Linked DNA regions of Mytilus edulis. The protein of the gene in region 2 purifies or fractionates together with the protein of the main gene of each other region. This does not show direct contact. Links are inferred from orthologs where the notes say so. Each region holds a gene or a part of one and is shown on either strand. Other genes may lie near its edges. The genes, in order: nephrocystin-4-like and nephrocystin-1-like.

The links.
Region 1: the proteins of nephrocystin-1-like (region 2) and nephrocystin-4-like purify together in Homo sapiens (co-immunoprecipitation; 6 studies listed by BioGRID and IntAct, with this or other methods). This does not show direct contact. The link is inferred for Mytilus edulis from reciprocal best matches to the Homo sapiens genes NPHP1 and NPHP4.

The regions. Positions count from the first base shown.
Region 1 is NC_092356.1:67,723,901-67,732,296, reverse strand, and holds the start of nephrocystin-4-like, read right to left. Parts: upstream 3,137-8,396; 5' UTR 1,664-3,136; coding exon 1,505-1,663; intron 1-1,504. UniProt on the Homo sapiens protein: Involved in the organization of apical junctions; the function is proposed to implicate a NPHP1-4-8 module. Does not seem to be strictly required for ciliogenesis. Required for building functional cilia.
Region 2 is NC_092346.1:5,439,764-5,447,761, forward strand, and holds the start of nephrocystin-1-like, read left to right. Parts: upstream 1-4,731; 5' UTR 4,732-4,808; coding exon 4,809-4,871; intron 4,872-6,231; coding exon 6,232-6,320; intron 6,321-7,406; coding exon 7,407-7,467; intron 7,468-7,875; coding exon 7,876-7,950; intron 7,951-7,998. Other genes in the region: uncharacterized protein, read right to left, coding at 938-1,170, 1,559-2,075. UniProt on the Homo sapiens protein: Together with BCAR1 it may play a role in the control of epithelial cell polarity. Involved in the organization of apical junctions in kidney cells together with NPHP4 and RPGRIP1L/NPHP8. Does not seem to be strictly required for ciliogenesis.

The DNA.
Region 1 (8,396 bases), on a different chromosome or scaffold from region 2:
ATGGGTAAAGGTTAGACAATATCCTAATGGGTAAAGGTTAGACAATATCCTTATGGGTAAAGGTTAGACAATATCCTAATGGGTAAAGGTTAGACAATATCCTAATGGGTAAAGGTTAGACAATATCCTTATGGGTAAAGGTTAGACAATATCCTTATGGGTAAAGGTTAGACAATATCCTTATGGGTAAAGGTTAGACAATATCCTAATGGGTAAAGGTTAGACAATATCCTAATGGGTAAAGGTTAGACAATATCCTTATGGGTAAAGGTTAGACAATATCCTTATGGGTAAAGGTTAGACAATATCCTTATGGGTAAAGGTTAGACAATATCCTTATGGGTAAAGGTTAGACAATATCCTAATGGGTAAAGGTTAGACAATATCCTAATGGGTAAAGGTTAGACAATATCCTAATGGGTAAAGGTTAGACACTATCCTAATGGGTAAAGGTTAGACAATATCCTTATGGGTAAAGGTTAGACAACATCCTAATGGGTAAAGGTTAGACAATATCCTTATGGGTAAATGTGAAACAATAAACTAATGGGTAAAGGTTAGACAATATCCTTATGGGTAAAGGTTAGACAATATCCTAATGGGTAAAGGTTAGACAATATCCTAATGGGTAAAGGTTAGACAATATCCTTATGGGTAAAGGTTAGACAATATCCTTATGGGTAAAGGTTAGACAATATCCTTATGGGTAAAGGTTAGACAATATCCTAATGGGTAAATGTATGACAAAACACTAATGAATAAATAGAGGACTAGTTTATGAGTAACTTATGGATATTTTTAACAGGACAATAATTAATCATTTATATCCCTGCAAAAAGAAGCAAAAACTTCAGTGAAAACATTAGTAAACTCTGAATAGGATAATGTGTCTTCATGGAAGTTATGTGACATAAATTCATTAGTTTATAACTGGAAATTTTTCCATTTATCATTATCTCTATTTTCTCTACTTGTTCATTGCAAATATATGAATTATGATTGAGAAGTCACAACCATGAAGGATCTACACAAAACATTAAATGCTATATTATTGTATGGTCAACTTTGTCTGGGAGAGTTGTAACATCTAAGTACAATAACAAGGCTCATAACTTAAAATTACATAATCATATTTGTATACTTATATCCATATGTACTCAAAATTATCATAACATATATATGTTAACAGACATGTACATAATAATTTAGGGTGATAGCTGACCTAACCATTTTAAACAGCTTTTATAACACACACAATTTAAAAGAAAAAGTCAATGAATAAATATCAAAAAGAAAATGTGGTATGATTGTGCGCGCCAATGAGACAACTCTCCACAAGAGACCAAAATGACTCAGAAATTAACAACTAAGCCTATACCGCATAGTCAGCTATAAAAGGCCCCGAAATGACAATGTAAAACAATTCAAACGAGAAAACAAACGGACTAATTTAGTTTCTATCTTATAATAAACACCCTTGCAAAAGTTTGTAAATTTAGCTTACCTTAACTTGAAAAGGGTGAGTTAATCCCTGTATTTGTTTAAATGATATAACAATTGGTATATTATCACTGTCTGCATGTTTATCTACCGTGGGGTCATGTTGTTTCCACAGAAGGTTATGTCGCTGTGGTAAACTTCTATGTAAAGTCAAGTATTTCATATTCAAGTGAATTCAATGGAATTAATATCCGTCTCCAGAATCAGTAATCCGATGCATATGTACATGTAAGTCCTTTAATATGGTGCCTATATCTGAGACTTATAATATTGGTCCCACCCAGTCTATAGCTAAATGTTAACAAATTTGGAAACATCTACTTAAAACACTCATATCTCGTAACAGTTGAAAATATGTAAATTCCTATGCAATGTTAAATCAAAATCCTCTATAATGTATTTTCCTGCACAAACAGACACATTATCAGCCAGTTAGAATATCATTCATGTCTACTGAATTTCCATACATCTTTTACCTTTCTAATATCATATTTATCAAGCTTATAAGATATATACTGTAAAATCTGTCAAGTTACAGAAATCAATAATTCAGAAAGTCACTTTCACTTGAAGTACAATTTTCAATAACTAAACATCCGATATAACCACAAACTTGTATCATATTAGGTATCCAATAAAATCTCTTAGTTATTAAAAATTTTAAACTTCTTGTCCTTTCACCTCATAAATTTTATGATAACATGTACCTTCAGACTATTACAACATGAACGTTTACTTTCCTAGTGAATGGCCATATATTACAGCTCTGGATAATATCCAAAACCAAAGATGTCGGGTTTATTATATTTCATTTTTTACTTCAAGTGAATGTATTCCATCAATATAGTCTGAATAATTCAGTGCATGTATCCTTATATTTTTTTTTATCTAGTATTTGAAGTTTTCAAATTACAGCATTATTTTTTTTTTCTTTCAATAATTGATTTTCTTTGGTTTTTTTTCAAATCAGATGTTTCTACACAAAATCATCACAATAGTACAATTAGTTTTGTAATGATAGTATAGTCACTTTGGAATTAAATTTCAAAAGGTAAATATAGCTTTTTTACAAGCTTTTATATCTATTCATTCACCGGCAAAATCTTTTAACCAATTGATATTGATGGTGAAAAGTAAAAAAAAATATTCGCAGGTAAACTTTCTTATTAAATATCATTTAAAACATATTAATTATTTATAGTTGATCAATTAACCATAACTATTTAGATCAAAATATTTTTAAATTCAAATTGACATTTAAAAAAAAATTTAATGCTGATTCAATATTGTAAATATGTACTTCAATGAAAAACATTAACAACTTCAAATGCAATTATCTATAAATTCACAAAAAATGACACAAATTATTCCTCTTGATATATGTATATATGCTCCTCAAATTATTAAAGTTAGTCTCTTCAAAAAAAATAATTTGATGATGTTAAAATGATGAAAATTTATCACAATAAGCTCAATCCCACATGTAAACTATATATGTACTGCTAAATCACAATAAAGAATTCAATAACAGGTGATAGATCTATAAATAGTATAAACTTTCACGTAATGACAAAGTCGAAGACAAATCATCTCATTGTTACAGCACATCAACATGCATTGATCATCTAACTATCGATTTTCATTTCATAGACACAGAGGTGTTTATGATTGAGGTTCATTAAAAAAACATGACGATAAATTTTCCATCTACATTTGTAACGGTGTCTTCCCGATTGTCCCTATTTTTGAAATTACAGGTAAAAAGGTTATGAAATTTTGTGGGACAATCGGGAATATGTTTGTGGGACAATTGGGAAGTTTAGATGTGGGACAATTGGGAACTGTTTTTATAATGATTTATTTGTTTTTATAGCGTGTTGCAGTTAATCAAAGGTTACTTATCGATGTAGCTTATAAAATATGAACAAAATAAGAACAAATAATAATATTTATATATTTTATTTTGCTCATAGTAGGTACAATTGAAGTATCATATAATATAATATGAAGTCTTTTAAAAAATTTAAAAAAATTTAGTCTAAGATGCATATATATTTTTTTTAATTATTTTTTATTGGCTTTGAACTAGCAGTCAGTACTGCGAGTGCTCTTAGATCTGTACTTAGTGTCTTTGTTGTGGTGATGTCCCAAGCCAGGAGCCTGTAAGTCAGTGGTTGTCGTTTGTTGCCGTGTAACATATTTGTTTTTCGTTCATTCTTTTGCCATTAGTTTTCTCGTTTTACATTAGTCATTTTGGGGCCTTTTGAAGCTATGTGATATGGGATTTGCTCGTTGTTGAAGGCCGTATGGTGACCTATAGTTGTTAATTTCTGTGTCATTTGGTCTCTTTGGGAGAGTTGTCTCATTGACAATCATACCGCATCTTCTTATTTCTTATGGAAGTCTGGCTCTTCTTTATAATTGGTGAAGAGTCTTTTTGACTGCAAAAACAATGGGAAAATTGGAAAAACAACCTTTAATAGTGATTCTTGGAAAGGCTGATCTGGAAAAATTCTAGACAGCAGCAAATTTAGAGAAAATAGATGGGGGTACAAGAAATGATTTTACCAGAAGCATGTGCATCCCATATAAAAAAAATTCTTTCAAATTTCTCAAATGTGTATTTTTTCAATCAATTATAACAAAGAAGTTGAAATAATAAGATTTGTGTTCTAAAAATAGCAAAAATAAGTGCACCACCATATGATTTTCGTAACCAATTAGTTTTCTAGAGTCATATATAAACCCAAAAAATCAGGTTCAGAAAAAAAGTTTAATTCAAGACCTTAAAAGATCTATTTCATAAATCAGAAATATTATATTTTTTTTAATCAAAAGTGTATCAATCTAATGATTTAAAAATCATATTTTTTATACTTTTATAAAATTAATATTAAATGTGCAATAATTAATTCTTGTTTATTTAGCAAAACAAACAACAGTTACCTTGTTTATCTATGAACATTTTACTACATAAAATAATGTGGGACAATCAGAACTCTAAAATTTTAAAAAGTGGGACAATAGGGAATAAACCTTTGTAACATCACATGTAAAGTACAAATAAATCAGGTATAACACACAGTAATATTATTTTCCAGTTCTTAACACATGTAAATGTAGGATTGAAAAAATTGTATACTTTATAATTACATGCAAGTTAAAGATTATTCAAACCTACATGTAGGATTTTTTAATTACAATAAATTGATGATATTTATTAACCTTTACTTTAAATGTCATGACTTTTAAGTTCTATTTAAAGATTTTTAAACGATCCAAGTCTCCCGATAATACCATGGTAAACAGTCAATATTTATCTGCTGATCATTTAGTCAGGATAATTTAGAGTCCCTCCTGTTTTTAACCGTAATCAATCTGTAAGCTATTTTTAAAACTCATCATAAAATTAGAATGAAATTTTGAAAGAGACCTTTAAATAACCACAAAAATTATTTATTAATGACAAGAATGCATGATAAGACTATTTTGGTCCCATGAGTTTGTAAATCAAAACGTATAATTAATCAATCTATGGAATAACACATTGCTTCAGTTGTTTACAAGGTTTATAGTGTGTTGATTAACAGTGTATATATATAGAATTTTATACATGTCAGTACATTTATCTATATTTGTGTGAGAAAAAGTTAGGGTAGGTACATGTAGATAAGAATTTATCTCTTTTTATTTTATGGTGGTTTTTTTTACATTGAGTCTTTGGGGGGAAAAAGATCTGTTTTTAACAGAGCTTAATGCATTCTGTAATGGAAAATGACAAAAATATCATTACAGTACATAAGACAGCTAATCATCTCAAGACAATACAACATTTCTTTATCATGTTTATACATAATTTAAAAGCAGTGTAAGGGAGGTAATTGTCAATGTTGTTTGAATAGTCCATTTGTCAATTACCGATTTTGTTCTGTAATTACACACTTTTTAAACAAATTACTTTCCTTTGTCAATAGTAGACTGGTTCTATACCGCAAAATTGGCTTTTGCCAATGCAAACCATGATGAATTGAAAGTGATGCAAACCATGATGAATTGAAAGTGATGTATAGGTGGTTTAACTAATATTTCATGGAAAATAATTTCTGATGTCAAAAGTATTTAGCCTAACAACAAAATTAATGATAAATCTAATTAACAGATTTTAAAAACTCACATTATGCACCGGTTAATTTGCTCTCTCTGTTAGCTCTCCATTGTAAATAAAATATACTGTCCCTCATAAGGGAGAAAGCTTAAAAAGGGATCTCTAATTACAGGGTCAATTACAGGAAGTGGTAAATAGACTATTACCTTCTGTTAATTGCTTTAAAATTATGTTTTGAACTTAAATAATTGTCCATTAACCAGGACACCCTTGTTCCCCCCTTTTTTTCCTTAATTCCTAAATGGTTTGAGCCATAACCCTGCAAAGCCAATTCTTACCATACCTTTATGGTATGGAAACTTGTGGTATAATTTCAGAGCGATCCATACACCATTCCACAAGTTATTGTCTGGAAAGTAGAAAAATGCCCTTTTTGACCCCTAATTACTAAACTGTTAGGACCATAACCCCCAAATCGTTACCAACCTTTCTTTTGTGGTCATAAACATTGTGTTTAAATTTCATCTTTCTATTTACTAATACATGTACTATAAACATGATCAATAAAAGTAAAATCTCAAAAAAACTGAACCCTGAGGAAAATTCAAAAAGGAAAGTCTGTAATCAAATTGGCAAAATCAAATGAGAAAACACATCAAATGATCCGTATTCCATTGAAAGAAATTGGGCATAGTTAGTGTTGTTTCAGCAAGCACGTGCGTTATCGCATTATTGATTGTGTCTAAATATTCTTATATAAACTGGATTTAACTTATTTTATAAAATTTGGTAAGTATGCAATTTTTGTTTAAGTTTTTAATGATCTATTGTATGTCGTCGTGTATATGTATTACACAAGTTAAGTCATTCATTTTGGCGTGCACAATTCACAATTTGTCTACACTAGACAATTTATTTTACATAATTGTGAAATCAATTGTACTATAGATACTAATATTATGAACAAGTTATATCTTACCAAATAGTGCTTCCCTAAACTATTAGGTAAACTAACATGAGGGATACTAAGTTACAAGCTGTAAACTTAGTAAATTGTTACAGCAAATATGCAATAAAGATATTATTACCTTTAAAAAAAAAAGAAAACAAATCAAAGGAATAGACAACAACTGTCATATTCCTGACGTGGTACAGGCATTTTTAAATGTAGAAAATGGTGGATTAAAAGTTATTGACCTGAAACCAAATGTATTCAGACGATGACAACGACGATGTGATACCAATATATAACGCAAATTCTTTTGGCTGTCTTACAAAACTTTACATGTTTAACTTAATAAACATGACTTGTAAAAGTACATGTTTTACCCTTGACTGTAACAAAACAAAGCACTTTCTGTTGCAGAAAGGGGCAACATTTAAGTACAATTACACATGTAGGTATAACATGTATAATGAGTATATTATCAAACATGCATTTACATGTAAATGTATATCTTTTCAATACTTGTACAGAGTTCTCTATGAGTGGTGGTCCTAGGGATTTTACCACCACATTTTTTTGGGAAGGACTAACACAATTTTGGCAATATGCATTTAGAAATGATAGTGAGGAAGGACCACCAGGCAAAAAAAGATTTCAAGAAATATGCTTGGATAAATGAGGGTCAAATAAAAAAACGTCATGGTACATTGTACATGTATGTTAATTGCAAGAGTTTTGAATGTTTTACAGTAAAAGTCAATATACGTGTAAAATTGTTCCATTTGGCTAAGTTCTTACTCAATTGAGCAGAGGGATTCATTGTTACTCATTTATAGGAATCTGCCATTTTTTTTACACATATAACTACATTAATACAGTACTACCTGTGACTTTATCTTATTAATGGTGGCCATAAAAAATATGTTCACCATGGTGGCCCTATATGTTCATCATCTTACCCCCTGTTGATTTTTTAATACACAAGGTATTACTCAAAAACTAGTCAAGGATAAAGGGAAATCTTGAATGCATTGAAGTGTTAAAATTATATAACTTACAGGTCAGGTGTCTCAGGTAAAATATACATGTATGTGTTTGTCAAATTTAATAACTGTGATTATGACAAGAAATTCAAAAATAAAATGAAACAATAAAACTAGTTGAACAAACAGCTTAATTAAAAAATAATTGTCTCCTGACTATTAGTTTTGATATTATACCTTTTAAATAATTTTTGATCAATTTAAGTTATTTTTTATATTAAGTTTATTTTTTGGTAGTGAAGAATAAATGAATCTCATTTTCAAATATACTGCAAACATTTACAATGCCTGTCTTTTTCTATTGACTAGATGTTTCTCAAATTAATTTTCTAAAATCAAAATGGTTTATTATTGTAGATAGACTGATCTTAACATATGATTAAGATTGTCTTTAGGACTTATGCTAAATAAAATTTAGGCAATTCATTATTTCTTTATTGAATAAAATATTTATAAGTATTAGAAATATTCAGTACAGCAAAATTTGATAATATTTTTATTGTCATATGATATTTTAAACATGATCCATGTTTTAGAGGTTAAGCATTTCTTTTACTTTTTGTTCTTGGGTTAGAGACATTTTAATGAGAAGGTAAATAATTTTCAAATAGATTTATATCTCAAAGTTGTTTTGTTAATTTTACAATCAAGGAATAGGTGTTCTTCATTGACCTACACATTCTATCCTTCTAGGAATTTTATATTGTCCACTATTTTCTATTTCTAAATTATGACCAAAAATTCTCTACCTTAATTGACACAATCAAGTTAACTTTACAGTTTTTATGATAAGTTATTATTT
Region 2 (7,998 bases):
GTTCCAAATGGTGAAGTTGAAATCATCCCTTCGTTAATTTTATGGACGCCATCACGATTTGGTTGACCGTCATGGAATGTGTACTTGTACGTTGTCTAAGAATGTATGACATTTAATTTGTCATCAGAAGGAGCGGAGCCTCAGACAATGTTAAACGTGAAGCAGTCATCGATTTCATTTAGAGAAAGGAATGGCTACCCGAAACATTGGGATAGCCATTTACCATTTTGCAATGTCACTTGATTTGTCTTTATACTCTGTGCTCAGCCAATGTAAAAGTATTAACTTACCTGTAACTTACCTGTAAATCCAGTTAGGAAAAAATATAAAATCGGCGAAAATGAAAGAATGAAAATTTTCAAAATCGGCGCAAATGTCATACGCCCGATAAGTTAACTCAAATTAGAGAATGGAAACTTAAAATTCAACAGTTTTTCCATTTGTAAAGGGGCACCACTCTAGAATAGTCAAAGTGACTGACACCACCAAAATTTAAACTTGATCTGTATTTTGTAATAAAAAGCCAGCCCCGAGGTCAAGTTTCAAACCTTTTGGTTGAGGTGAACTACAGTTTGAGAATGGTAACCAAAAATTCTGCAATTTTTCCATTTGTAAAGGGGCATAACTTTAGAACAGTTAAAGTGACCCCACCAAAATTCAAACATGATCTATGGTTTGTGGTAATAAGGCCAAAAATAAATAATAGTTTGTTTCCCCAAACCCGACCCTAACAAGTCAGGTATGGGTAGGTAGGTAGGTAAAATATTTTATTTTTTTGGTAATTTAAAAAAAAAAATTGGTACTTCAATCTAAATAAGAAATTAAAAACCATCATTACACTGGTAGTTTTTTTTTAATTCAACGGTTTATCATTGAAGCTATCAGTTTCCTCATGTAACATATATTGAATAAAACTCTATGTATAATTTGAAATAATTTATTTTATTGGGTTTCTCTTGGGTGGTAGCTTTCCAATAACGACACAGTCTCTGCAAACTGGTAGAACAATACGATGTGTTTTAATGGCATCTTGGTTCTTTGTTGCCCCCACAGCTGCACAGAAGGCACAGATATCGGGCTGTGCCAGGGTAGAGGCATAATATGGAAATTCCACATGTGTATTACAGTCTATCTGTAGGCGCACATTCACCACTCCTTCAAGAGCATCACCTGAAAAAAGAACAAAAGAGATCTTTGATAAATAAAAAATAATATCCTAGATTACTTTGTACATATATATTGGGAATTTTCAATGAATAAAATACTGAGCCTTCTGTTTATTATATTATAAAATCTATCCAGGTTCAATGTCAGAGTGTGTACTACTAGAATGAAGTTTATTCGGTTCATTCAATTATGCAATTTTCCACTGAAAGGAGGACTTAAACATTGAAATCATATCAACCACTGAATAACTCAATGGAACATGCAAATAAGATACAAGAGTGCATGAACATTTTATTGTATGTTAAATGTGGAACTTTCATTCAATATTGGTTAACAAAATCATGCTAAGCCAGACCAAATATATGTTTTGGCGTTCATTCATTATGCATACCTGTAAACTTGTTAATGGCTTCTTTTCGCCTTGGAAGTTTGTTCACAGCCTGACTGGCCCTCATCATTTTGTCAAAGGTATTGACAACATTTGAGGAGGAGGCTTCTGTTTCTGTAGAAGTCTCATCAATGTCAATGCAAAATTTCAAAAACTTAAAGTTTTTATTAAAGTCTAGTGCCAGTTTCATGTCATCACTGTAGTGTGGACTAAATATTTCTGTGGAACCACTTTTTTCAGAAATGGATACACGGATGTGTTTTCTGTCAAGAGCATCCTCCTCCTCTTCAGTCAATTCTAAATCGTCTATTACGTCCTCACATATGTCTTCAAATATTTCCTTCGTCGAAAATCTCCGCAATACATTTGATACCAAGTCTTTCTTGAAGTTTCCAGCTGAATAAACGGCAACAGAAACTGACATAACGGCGTCCATGTTCTGACATTTAAAATATGAACAATCTAGAGAATATGGTAAAGACCCGAGACCACGTGGAAGAAGAAAGCCAAGTCGCGTCATCAAGGCGTTTTCAACTAAGCCGATTTGAAAGGCGCTTTGAAGAACAGCGTCACCTTCTTATGTCTTATGTATTGTACTCCTCCATTTTATAGGAGCACCGCACCACCACATGAATTTTGAGAAAAAAAAAATTTCTACACAAAATCGGCAATAAAATTATTCCGGTCGCGGCGATTTTTCTGGGTCGGTCGGGATTGGGGAAACAAACAATATTTTATTTTAGGCCTAAGCAATGTGTACAAGTTTCATAATATTTGGTGGAGGCAAACTAAAGTTAGAGAACTGAAACCAACTTTGGGATGTGCTGATGTTCATACAGACGTACAAGGGTAAAACTGCTACATGTACATTGTATGACGGAGGCATAAAAAGACAATTTAATGTATGTTTTAAATTTATATATTTTTTTTAATTTATATATTTAAAACAATTGATATTTAGATTTTTTAAGCTTAATTTGTTTTCTTGTCAATGATTTATATGAAGAAGAAGTCCCAAATAACAGTAGAAAATTCAATAAAAAAATTTAAAAAAATAAAAATGGGAATTTTCATTGTACTAATGAACTCATAATCGTTCAAACTTTTTTATGTCATGTTTTGAATTCCAACATCTGCGCAGAAATCTACAATGTACTTCCTTTTTCGGGTCTCGTTTGCATGAAATTTTGAGTAAAATATATATTTATCAGTCTAGTATAAAATAAGAAGGAACGCAATATCAATTTCATTTTTAATAATTCCTTGATATGAAAAAACGTTACCTAATGATAGTGTTTCTTTGTTTACATTGCATATGACGTCATAACTTAAATAACGTCACAACTAAAATCCCTAACGACAGAACCAAAATTGGAAACGTTACAGTATTTCCGTTTTGAAATTTATAAGATATGTTTTAATTAAAAAAAAAAAATTATACAGACTTCGTCCCCTTTCACAGGTAATGCCTGCCTCATATTACTTCTTATCGCTAAATTATTCTTCTTGTTGCTAATTTGATTCTTCTTGTCACTTCTTCTTGACAGGGATCTGGTTACTGCCATACTGGTAAAGTATTTTAAAGATTTGCTGACTTTGAAACATTTAAAAAATAACACCTATCTTATATTAGACAATATTAACACGGAAACTATTTATACACTACAAGGTTATATTATATCAATGTATTTATCCTGCTGATGGGTGCTGATGTAGAAATTAAAAATTGTTCATTTTGTAAGTTATATGGGAAAGGTCTGGCCAACATTTGCCTTCTATGCAATGAACTTGAAACGTAACCTAAGCGATATGCTTTTAAAGATTCGTTAACAGAAGTAAATATAAATTGTAAAGAATGAAAAACTTACATTTCGCATAACAATCCAAAATATTTTTTAGCTGATTATGCCGACGATTTTTGCCACTTCCTGTTTACACTTCTGCGCATGCGATGACGTAAATTTGACATTGAAGTGTGTATTTACAATCAAGATTGGTCACAAATCAATTAAGAAAATTACATATTCATTTTTGATTGATTGATTGATTGATTGATTGATTGAAGGAAAAAAAGATACTAAATATTTCTTAAAAAGTAAAAACACAAAAATACTGAACTCCGAGGAAAATTCAAAAAGAAAGTCCTTTATCAAATGGCAAAATCAAATGATAAATTACATCAAACAAATGTGATTATCAAGTTGAAAAAACACAAGTCTGCCTTCAATTTTAACACTGTTTTTTTTTTATTCAATAGAGATTACAATCAAACAATTTATCACCTCCCCCCTCCCCCCTCCAATACTAAGTGTAGGTTCTGCATAGATTTCAATGTACTTCTGTCTTCTCTGAAAATCTGAAACTGATTGTTCAAATGGTATATCAATCTAATTAAAATATTGATCTCTTATTACATTATTCTACATATGTAGTATTTATAACGTAATTAGAGATCAATATTTTAATTAGATTGAATGGTATGTGTGTTGCTAATACATTGAGTAAGAATGTCTCACATAATTAAAAAGGCTTAACTATAAATAGAGAATCTTTTTTTATTTGAAATTTTTATTCATTAATACGTCAATCCACTCATTTTAGACTACTATGATTTAGATTAGCTTCAGAAAGTGTCTACATAAAACATCAAGACAGCATAAATTCCCTACTGACATATTAGGATAGTTGTGAACCAACATGAACAGAAACCAAAGAGAATGCAAATTAGGCATATTTAAAGTTTGGAACAAACTAGACTAGTTGCAATACTGTATGACAATAGGTATAATTAAAGTAACAAAATGCACTGGTTGACTTACACTAGCATGATTTGAAAAATAATCATGAAACACCAACTTGACAGTAATTTTAATGAGTATAATTAAGATACAGTTGATTTTTGTGAAATCTAATTTAACTGAAAATAACTTCAATGGTATTTTTTAACTTGTAGTATTTTGTCCGGAAATTTAGTGCTACGCCAAATTTGGTTTTTATATTAAATTTTATATTAAAAATGATGCACAGTCGCAAAAATATTTAAATATAAAAATAGTACTTTTATTTAAAGCAAATACTATATTCATGTCTTTAAATAAATATATCTTACAAACATTTAGTATCTTTTTTTTTTAAGCTTCCATATAGGGAGTTTTTTTAAAATTATTCTACGGTGCACATCAGGGTTGTTTGTAAATGGAAGCTGTCAACAAATAATTTTTTGATTCCTCAGTAAAAGCACTTAAATTTGGCCATGGGGAAAGAGCTTGGACCCCTACAAAAGTTTCAGAAAGAAGCTGATACATATAAGAAAAAGGTATTGCAACTTCTGTGATGAAAGGTCGATGAACAAATTAAAGAATTCAGAACGTTTAGAAAAAAAAAAACATGTTAAAACATGACCAACTCTACCAAAACCAAACTTTTGCTTTTAGCAAAAATTAATGCGTATAGTAATGTCGTTTTTTTTCAATCAAGATATACAGACTTCATATGTTAAGATGGATACATTTTTTCCCTCAATTAAGATATTATAGCTTTCATGTCGATCCAGCCCCAAATCTTTAGTGACAACGTCGATCAGGCCCCACATCAATCTGGCCCCATATTCAGTCGATCGGGACCCAATTAAAAATATATTTATAACGAATTTTTATGCGGATGGATATAAATTGTAATTCTTAAATGTTATAAATGAATTTTATAAGAATGTAAAAGGTGAACAGTAAAATAAGTTGGCCGTTTACGAATATTTTCAATAGATGAGTATAAAACAACTATATTTATTATGTTTTCATTACAAATTTTCAAGATTATTGGGTATAATTTTAATAAAAACATATATAACAGAATTTAGTATAATCAGCAGCCATCAACATTAAACAGCAGTAATTAGCATTTTTTTCATTTGCAATTCTTTCATCCTGTGTAATAACAAATATATGTAGTTACATACACAAAGTTACAAGTCGATCCCCAACTGCCAATAAAAAGTAATGAATATTACTTGTTTTGTTTTTTTATCTTTGCAGAACTATTTTAAAGATTCTCAACTTTAAAACAATATTTTGATTGAATTAGTTGATCACAAGTGGCCTATTTAGTTCACAATCATTAGATAACGGTTGAATAAACAAACCATTTCATTTAACTATGCATTATGATGATATAAACCTTTAAAGGTTCTAAATAATTGAGTTTTCCTCTCAGTTCTATCGAATTGAAATAATTCATTGACTGGTTCTCCAATATTTATAGTTCACTTACCTGTTGTCATCAATCCTGGATAATTTTTACAAGTTCCATTTACATTGTATCCTGATTCAAATTTGTCGCCAAATCCTCTGAAGTCAATATAGATTATTCATTGTTTCATTATGGGGCTGGATGGACCGGATGTATACCTATATATATTCATTGCAAAATTGCTTGTCCATCAGGACTTGAACCCGGGACCTCTGTGTTATGAAGCAGTGTGTTAATCGACTTAGTTAAAGAGGTCTGCTCAAGCTTTTAACATTTCCATTAAATTCTATTTCCCACTTAAGGGCACTGTTCCTTTGCATTTTGAGTTATTTTTTGCTATACATGTTCTAATCCTTTGTGTTTCTATTGTGTTATTTACAAAATTAAATTATTATTTGTTGTATATACATTACTCAATTATGTATTTTTAGGTTGACAAACAAGCAAAGGATAGTACTAAAGCAGCAAACGACAAAAAAATAAAGACAGATGAAGAAAAACTAAAAGGCTTTTTTAAAGGGTATGTAATTAAAAACATTATGCAATAGTCCATTTGCAAATTTCTGATTTGATTCTGTTATTACACACTTTTTAAACAAATTACTTCCCTTTGTCAATTGTAGACTGGTTCCATACCGGACAAAATTGGCTTTTGCGAATGCAAACTATGATGAATTGAAAGTGATGTATCGGCGGTTTAACTATTTTTTTATAAAAATAATTTCTGATGTCAAAAGTATTTAGATTAAAAACACATTAATGTAATTATAAGATTTGAAAACCTTAAAGATTACTCACATTACGCACAGGTAAATTTGCTCGTTCTGCTCGCTCTCCATTACAAATGAAAATTAATGTCCCTCATAAGGGAGGCAACTGAAAGAGGGATCTCTAATTATAGGGTCAATTATGGGAATTGGCAAATAGCCTATATAGCTATTGTTAATTGACATATTATAGGAATGTCCTCATAGTCCAATACCACAATTGTTGTCCCTTGATTTTCGTTGTCCACGAATATAGTCCCTACTGTGGACAGTGTGTTACTTGCCAATTTTTTTTATACCCTTTCCAAATGTATTTCTCCATGTTTTATCCCTCGGGCAATAGCAAGTCGAGGGATAAAATGACACTGTCTAAAAATTTGGGTCATGAATTTTAAGGTAAAGTAGTGATTTGGTCCAGTTGAAAAAGGTTAATAATTAGTACTTTGGAAGCTGTCAAAAGATTTCAAGGCCCCCTTAACATAAAATTGTCCATATTTTGAGTTAGAGCCGATGAAGTTTTCTATTAATTTGATTTTATATGTCCCAAAAGTAGTACAACACACTGTAAAAATTTTATTGAGAAAGCACAGGTGGGATTTTTTTAATTTTCAGTATTGTCTAAAAGAAATGCACTACGAAATAATTGTGGTCTCAGACCGGTTAGTTGAGCTAGAATATCAGACATTCATTGTATTAAGAAAATTAAAGTACTTTTATGTACATGCTTACAAAATGTTTGATTAAATTGCAAGAAAAAATTGGGTATTTGAGTGACATGCTAACAATTAATGAAATGTTTAATTGTTGTAAAAATGTATCAATTCATTTCCTTTTTTCAGGTGTTATGATCTCAAAGCTCAAGTTGATGATTTACTGAAGCAGGCCAATGAACTTTCAGAGGTAACTTGATTGGCCAGTTTATTACTTTCTTCTCTTAAACCAATAGGCAAAGAATATTTATTACCGTACAAGAAGTGAAAAAATATCATTGTATAAAACTGTCCCCTGTTGTAACTAGTAGCTGGGATTATGTATGGGTTCCATCAACATCATACAAACTGTCAGATTTCAATGAAAAAGTTTTAAAGAGCAAAACTAGTTGATGTTATTGCTCTTGAACAAATAATGTATTTGACTGAGAAGGGGGCATTGGAATGCTGTTCATTTAACATTGTTTAAAATTGCCACTGATCGTCAAACAAGAAACAATCAATCTCTTTTATTTTGGTGTTACCGGTACAATGTTATTGTTATCATTGTTGATGTGATTTTGGCTTCTCTAGAAATAACTTTACTGCTTTTTTGTAGGAGAATGAGCCAAGCAAAATAAAAGATTTTGAAAAGAAGAAAACAACAGAAGTAAACAGAATTACAACATGGCAGGTAGGCAACAGGCAAACATAATTTGATTTAGAATAAAAAGAGGTACAT